2 linked regions of the Drosophila melanogaster genome follow. The protein of the gene in region 1 interacts with the protein of each later gene in a pairwise test. Each region holds a gene or a part of one and is shown in the gene's direction. Other genes may lie near its edges.

Region 1 (3,921 bases):
AACTGCTGGAACACGCCCAATTCCTGGTGTCCAAACAGATTGCAGTAGTTCCGCGCAAATATCTGCAGCTCCTCGGGCGCCACGCCAACGCAATGATGCAAGAGGCACAGCAGTCGCAGTGTATTAAATCTCTGACCATCTGTGGTCAACAGCTCGTCGATCTCGCTTAGCAATCGCTTTCTTGAATCATTGTTTAGTATGTCCTCCTCCAGCGTTTGGAGCTTCCTGAAGTTACCCATCATTTGGATCACAATCTCGCTGGCATTCAGATGCCTAAGGACTTTGCTCTTAAGCTCGGTTAGTTTGGGTAGCTTCCTGGCCACATAGTCATGCATCTCGTCCAGCTGCATGTCATTGAGTTTCTGCAGTTCCAAGCCCAGGGCTTTTACTTGTGCGTGAATCAAACTGCTGACCTGAGCAAATCGTTTGTACCGATTATCGCCGTAGATCTCATCGGATGTGGAGTTAAGACGAATGGAACACGGCTTGCTGGCTGAGTTTACGCCTATCTTGGATTTCTTTCCCTGGAGTAACTCCACACGCTGGCTGCGGATCTTGTTCTTGGAATTGTCTACCAGAATCTCGCCAGAACTATGCTCGAAAACTTCCAAGAGAAGACCTGCATAGATGGCCGGAGTGAGCAAGCTGGCGGGGTAATCCTTATCCCGATCGATGACCAGCCAGCCGCCATAGTCTGGAGGATTTGTGGGCGCCGGAAGTTTGCCAAGAGTCTTCGCCATTTGCATTAGCTGCGACGAGTGGTGGCCAAAGCTCAGAATCAAAGACGGTTGTCCGCAAATCATCTGAAGCAATCGCAGGCTCTGGGCCACCGCAGGCAATGGAGATGTGTTCTTCTGCAGGTAGAGACACTCGTAAAGCTGAATAATAAGAATATCCAGTATAAAAGACTCTTTTCTGAATGTTCAATGTACATCTACTCACATTGGGCAGCTCCAAGCTGAGAACTCCCTGATCAAAATAGATGAAGTCCCAGTTAAAGTGATGAAGTTGCACCAGTCCGTACAAACCAGCCTGTTCCAGCAGGGTTTGAAAATAGGAGTAACAACTGGGCACACAGACTATGTGATACATTTTCATGGAGATGTCGGGCATTTCCTCTGAGGCCACGGGTTGCAATTGCTTGAGAAGTGTCTGAAATGTACCCAAAACACTGCGGATCATGTAGATGTGCACCTGATCGGCGGATCGGGGCAAAGATTGTGCCGCATCATGTTTGTAGATCCGTTGTATGCCCTTCAACCTGTTAAGGGGTATATATAAGACGTAAATATCCATAAAATATGGATTAAACACCTACTTCAGCCAGGAGGCAGTGACAACATGTTCCAGTGGCTTTATCAAGTCGGGCTCCAAAATTAACTCCTTCTTTCCAGGTATGCTACATAGTATGGAACAAAGCTGCAGTCGAATTGCAGGTAGTTAATAGTTTCACTCTTCCGATTCATTATTATACCTTTTCTTGTGCCACCAACTGGAATCCCTGCAGCTTTTTGTCCAGCGTCAAATCCATTCTTCGCCGCACAACACAAACAGCTGATGCAGCAAGGTAGCAAAATGTAAGGTGACGCACGCAAAATAAAATAGGGTTGTCACAAAGCAAATATATGCAGTTTTTATTACGTAAATGTTTATCGCAGTCAAAAAAGCAGTATTACTAGTTATTCTATACAATACATTAAACAAAAGCTATACTCAAATTAATTATTTTGAACTTATGCTACTACTGACGTCACAAAGTGTTGAGTCACCATTAAAAGCATTAATTGTGCACAGTCTTAATTCCTGCCGATCCAAAACTTATTTTCAAAGTTCGAGCTATCCGGTTTGTTAAACAAAAGTACTTAATCTACTGCTCAGTTTGATTGCATACCACTGTGCGAAGGCTGTTCGCTCACGAACTATCGAACCGGTTCGCCATGCGTTCCCATCTTTAGACGGGTATTTAAGCGCGATTCGCTGCAAAAGTGGCAGTTTCGTTCCAAATTCCGAAGCGAGAGTTTGTCGTGGGAAGTTGTTGCGCGCGCCCTGTTCGCATTTATGTGTTTTTATCGTGATTCCGTCAACCGAAATCATATGTTTTTAGCCAGGAGAGAGACGATTGCCAAAACAGCAGCAAAACGGGCGGAGTTCTGCGGTGGAAAATCGAAAATTAGCAAGCGCACGGAACACACTGTGATTGGAGCGAATTAAATGTGAATCAAAATATGGTTAGCCATTCGAAAAGCGTGTAATAAAATCGTGAAGAAAAACCAGAAAACAAATTTGTTATCGCTCTCTGTCTCTTTCTCTCTCCCATTCTCGCTGCGATTTGCTCTCCGTGTGTTTATGTCTCAGCTGTCCAAGTGTGTGTGCGGGTGTGTGTGACGTATGTGCGTGCAAGTGTTTGTGATTTTATGTTGTTGTCTTGCCTGCTTTCGCGTGAAATTCAACAACAACAACAACAGCAGCGGCAGCAACAACAAGCAAAGCAACAGCCAACAACAAATTTAAATTGAGATTTTCCATATTATCAAAAGTTACAGGCGCCTATTTTGCAGTTATCAGGTGAGCTTGCACTTACATTGTTTATAAATAATTTGGGTTTGGCGCATGTGGGTGAAACTGTGCAAAAATATGTGAAATATTTAATCTAATGACAAAAATAGCCGTGCGGTCTGGTTTGTTGTTGTTATTTTGGGCAATTGCAGCTTGTTGCATGTTCTCGTCTTCTCTTTTGTGCCGCAGATTCGTCTCTTTTTTACCGCTCTCTCCTTCTCACTCTGTCCTGCTTGCAGTTGTACATTGTTGCCTTTGTCAATCATTATCTTTGTGTTTTCGCTTCGTTCTGTTTTTGTTTTAGTGGCTAACATTATTTTCTTATAGTCCGTGTGTGTGTCTTCTTCGCGTTTTCTTTGCGGTTCAATTGTTGTTGCGATACCGGTTTGAGCAGCTGTCTCGCTCGGGCACGCTGCACAGGTTGCTGTTTAGATTACTTTTAATTTTTCTATTCTTTGCGCTCCCGTGCCTTCTAATCGCATCTTCTTCTTCGTGCTCATCTTTCTAATGCCCGTTTCTTATTGTTGTTGTTCTTGTTGCCCCTCCCAATTATGCTTTATTTGTTTGTATTTCCCTCTCTCCCATTAAAAATAAGTTTTTGCCATGGGTTTTATAATTTATTGGCCTTTCGATTTATTTAAAAGTTTAATTTTTGCCCAGACTGTTCAACTTTTGCTAATTGCCTACAAGTTTTAAAAGGTTTTTAAGTAGTTTAGCTTAGAACAGGTTTTGCAACAGTATGTTTTGTTAGGAGAGTCACGTTAGAATGTTTCAACTATATATGATTTTTTTTAATATTTATTGTTTTATAATTGAAAGCATAAATAATGTAAAATTTGCGTTCATATTATTTTTCTTTTTATAATTGTAGGTTTGCTCTCGAAAGTGCGAGAAATTTTAAACATGAATCATCATTTCAGAACTAAACAAATCTTAAGAGATTTGTTTGTATTGCATAAAATACAAACAATTTGATTTTCTTGTGCTGAAATTAGTATTACTGCTTAGTTTCACCATTATATACTAGATATAGAAAAAATCATTAGGATCCGCTTTAGGAATAAATCTAAAAGCAAGTTAATTATCTTTACTTGAAATGAATTTTTATTCCGACTAATGCGACATTTTATTATTACTCATAAGAGTGGTTAATCGTTAGTTGGATTAAAGAAGATGTGGATTCCCGTTAATGGGAAATTCCGCTGAGTTTATCGAGGCCATCGGCGTTTCTCAATTCGATTTCCAGTCCGAGATGCGCTCTTCACTCGCTTAATAAAAACAATAATAAGCTGAAAGCAAAGCAAATCGAAATAATTCATTTGCATTTACATAGGTAAATAAACAACACCATCACCCGAAGGTGAT
Region 2 (3,921 bases), 2.4 Mb from region 1:
AGTGGCTTTGAAAAGTCGTATTCCGTGATAATATTGCTATCATACACAGTTTTCATTTTAAACTAATGGCTTTCGAAAGCTTCATATATCTTCAAATATGTGTTCGTCATTCAAACGATTGAGCCAAATGCACAATGAGTTGAAGTTTTTGATAAAAAATAAATCGTTTAATTCTACTTAAAACTGGAAACTAGTTTAAGCTAGTTTAAAAAAATGCATAACATTGATACATTTTACTATGGTTGCGATAATATCTGCCTAGTTCTGAAGCAATAGAAATGTCCTACTTTACAGATCCTTAGATTTCTTATTTTTTATATGCATGGCAGAAAAGTTCACATATGATTCACATAATTTATTGTAGTGTACTTCGGTTTCGAAACACCAAGGTCAAGTTGGCACTTCCACAAATGATAAAAGAACCGAAGTGCAGGAGAATCCAAGATAGTCTTGATTTCCTGTTTTCTTTCAAGTGAAGCTGCTGCAGGTGCGAAAAAGTGGGGAAGATGTGATGGGGCTGCTGGGCAAACAAGTTATCGCCGCGTTTGTGCACCGTTTTACGAGGGAAAGCTTTTGTCTTTGGACACGATTAGTGGAGAAGCGGCAATTTGGGTGAAATCTTATCAATCAGCGGCGGGCATTGAAGCGTTCGCGGACGGAGACGAGAGCATCGGCAATTTAATTGCGGAAATAAAGGGGCAGGCAGGCACATTCCACACTGCTGACGGGACAAAGTTTGTTCGATGGATGATTAAGCCGCGTTTTCAGGTGGAGCAGGTGGGGCGGTGTTGGGCTGTATCTGGTTTTGGATAGTAACCAGTCACGCTACATGGAGCAATTCGAATCTCACGCCAAATGCGGCTCAGGATGGGCACACAGTGGGGGCGGGGCTGCAGCTTATATGCACCTGAATCTGGGAGAATCCTTCAGGCACTCCTCGAACTCGATGGTGGCGCGCATTTTGGCCACCACGCAAGCAGCACCTAGACTGCACTGCTGGCTATTTCGCTACGCTAATTGAGGCCCGTGAATCTTTGTTGGCCTGTTGCTGCTGCTCTGCTTTGCTTTGCTTTCCTTGCTGAAGTGGGGATTTCGATGCGCGATTTTCGAGGGCGGCTCTGGGAGAAGCTAATTGCGGGCAGCAGGAGATATGGTGATTAGTCGCATCCTTGGCAATCGACGGCTACACACGTTGAGCACTGGCCCTAATTAGCGAAACTCGCCAATTTACGCGATTCGGGGCCGAATTTACCAAATTTACACAGCGCGCAGAGACAACAAATTAAAACGTCTCACTTTCTACTAGAGCAGATCGGTGTGCCCGCACTCGCAGCGAAAACAAATCTAGCAGCGCGAATGGTCACACACTTTGGCGGGCTTATTTGCTTTTGCTCATATCTTTTAAAATTTTAAATGTATTGAATGCTTAGTGTTTTCCTTGTGCTGATTTTCGTTTTAAAACTCGATTAGTTACGAAGATTTCAATTCAAAGGCATAAAACAACGCACATTGACATTGTCAGCACGGTTTATCAGTGTTGGAAACTTTTGTAGCTAAGAAGAAGCTAATTAGGAACTTAAATTCCCTAAAAGAAGATACAGCCCAAAAAAGATTTGGGTTCTAGCCATAATCAATGTAGATGTATTTAAAGTACAAACGATGACAATTTTAAACACCAAAACAAGCAAATCCGTTTCAAGCTACCGCCAGCCAAGTCAAATCTAGCTACAAAACAGATCAGCTGACAGCACCGCTGGATTTTAGGGTGCCCGCCTTGTGCGACAAGAATCCGCGGCCAGTGCTGCACAAGTGCCATTTTTCATTTCATTGTTCTGTTCTCTTTCTGCTGGTGCTGTTTTGGTTTAAGTGCAATTATCCACACAAGTACGCACCGAAAACCGATGCACCTGCACCGTGCACCAAGTGTGGGAGTGCCCAGTGCCAGTTTCATTTATAAAACTATGAGTTTCGCACGGCAACCAGCGCAGCTGACCGACTGACCGATCAGAGTCTCACGTCCCCCCTCGCCTCATGTGTTTACCCCTTGTCCAGCGTTCTATTTGCGTTTCGTGTCCGCTTTAAATCGCCTCATTTGCATACAACTCGACGGCTTTACGTCACAACTCTTTAAAATCGGCGAAGTAGAGGAGGAGGAGTGAAACACGCCCATTCCCGGAGGAAGCATTAGACCGACCTGTTTGGAATCCAGAATGTGGAAGTGCCACAAGTGCGGCAAACCCGTTTACTTCGGTAATGCACCCACACACGAGCGCATTGCGATCCGTAAATAACTTGTAAATTATATTTATTTATGCCCCGCACAGCGGAACGTAAACAATCGATCGGCTACGATTGGCATCCGGAATGTTTGCGCTGCGAGGAATGCGGCAAACGCTTAAATCCCGGCCAGCATGCTGAGGTAGGAGGATCACCTGTTAGTTAGCCGATCATGTGATCTATATAAAGCCTTTTGTTTTCCTTTCAGCACAAAAGTGTGCCCTACTGCCATGTGCCCTGCTATGGCGCCCTGTTTGGACCCCAGTTGTTTGGCCACGGCACCCGGGTGGAATCGCACAAAAGCTATGGGGTGAAGGGAGCCCAGAAGCCAACCGGAGCTCAGGCCAATGGCCCGCCACTCCCACGTGATCACCTGGAGTCCAAACTTAAGGTGCAGAACGCAATACCCAGACATATCAATATCTCATGACTCACCAAATTCCCTTTTAATGGGCAGGTCTACAACCAATTCTACGACAACAAAAGCCTGGAGATACGTAGTCGTGAGGTCAACAACCGGTTGGTGCTGGAAGGCGCGCTTAGAGTTTACTGGGGCGTGCAGGGAGTGATTCATCTCAAGGAGGACGATGATCAGCGCATCTTAGTGCGCAAAAGGAACTCTTGCCGTGTGTCCAAGGCTGCCAATGTAAGCTGAATCTATAACATAACAAAACGTTATTTATACAATTGTACCCACAGGAAAGCAGTTCGGATAAGGAAAACGAAGCTAGCGAATCGCTGGCTCCGCCCACCACCACCACAGCCGAGGTCGATCAACTATCCACGGATGTTTCCCTTTCCGAGAGCATGACCTTCGACTCCTGTAGCCTGAACGAGATCTCCGAGTTGCCCACAACCCCAGAAGATGCCTCGGCCAACACCACAGCCAACAGCAAAGAGCAGACCAATGGTAATGTGTGCAACGACGACGAGGATACGACCACGACGGACTCATCTGGAACCCTGGTGGAGGCTCCTACTGCCAGCACAAGTTGTGTGTCCAGCACATTGCCTTCGAAGTTGGACCGTCTGGAAAAACTGGATTGGGACGACATAGACGATCTGCTGCAGGTAGAGAGACGTCACAACGACAAGGATCGCATTTATGAAACTATGCCTGTCAAACTGCCGTCGTCGCAATCCTCCAGCGACAGTTCGCCCAGCAAAACATCCACAGAGACCACTACGACCACTGAATCAAGCTCGACTCAATCGGCATCAACAAACACCAGCAGCACGGATGATTTTATGACCGCCACGGGATCGTTGACTGCCAACACCAATACGCAGAATACAACAACGGTGTCTACTACTGAGACCTCTCTGGATAACTTCGAGACTTGCGATGACGCTACCCTGAAGCCTATTGATTTCGAGGACTTTAAGCGTAGTGTCCACCAGGACTATGTAAATGGGGCCAACTCCTTTACGGAGCCCAATGAGGGCACCCTTAAGCGTAATCAACCAATTGATCCCTCTCGCATTCACGACTCCCTTAAGCTCTACGGCGAGAATTCAGCGATGAGCAAAAGCTTTAATTGTGAGCATGCATTGCGGTCAATAGATCCCACTTTAATCAACGACACCATGAATCTGCGCAGTAGTGTGGGCTCTCCTCACTCCGCACAGCGTCAGTACGCCTTA

Evidence for each region.
Region 2: the proteins of Fur1 (region 1) and Rassf interact in a two-hybrid assay, tested with the Drosophila melanogaster proteins (one large-scale study listed by BioGRID).

What each region holds. Positions count from the first base shown.
Region 1 is NT_033777.3:25,471,126-25,475,046, reverse strand, and holds the start of Fur1 (furin 1), read left to right. Parts: upstream 1-1,988; 5' UTR 1,989-2,565; intron 2,566-3,921. Other genes in the region: Vps33B (vacuolar protein sorting 33B), read right to left, coding at 1-878, 943-1,261, 1,319-1,419, 1,475-1,531. UniProt on the Drosophila melanogaster protein: Furin is likely to represent the ubiquitous endoprotease activity within constitutive secretory pathways and capable of cleavage at the RX(K/R)R consensus motif.
Region 2 is NT_033777.3:23,115,828-23,119,748, reverse strand, and holds the start of Rassf (Ras association family member), read left to right. Parts: upstream 1-1,817; 5' UTR 1,818-2,210; coding exon 2,211-2,250; intron 2,251-2,324; coding exon 2,325-2,419; intron 2,420-2,485; coding exon 2,486-2,668; intron 2,669-2,734; coding exon 2,735-2,923; intron 2,924-2,976; coding exon 2,977-3,921. Other genes in the region: CenB1A (centaurin beta 1A), read right to left, coding at 908-960.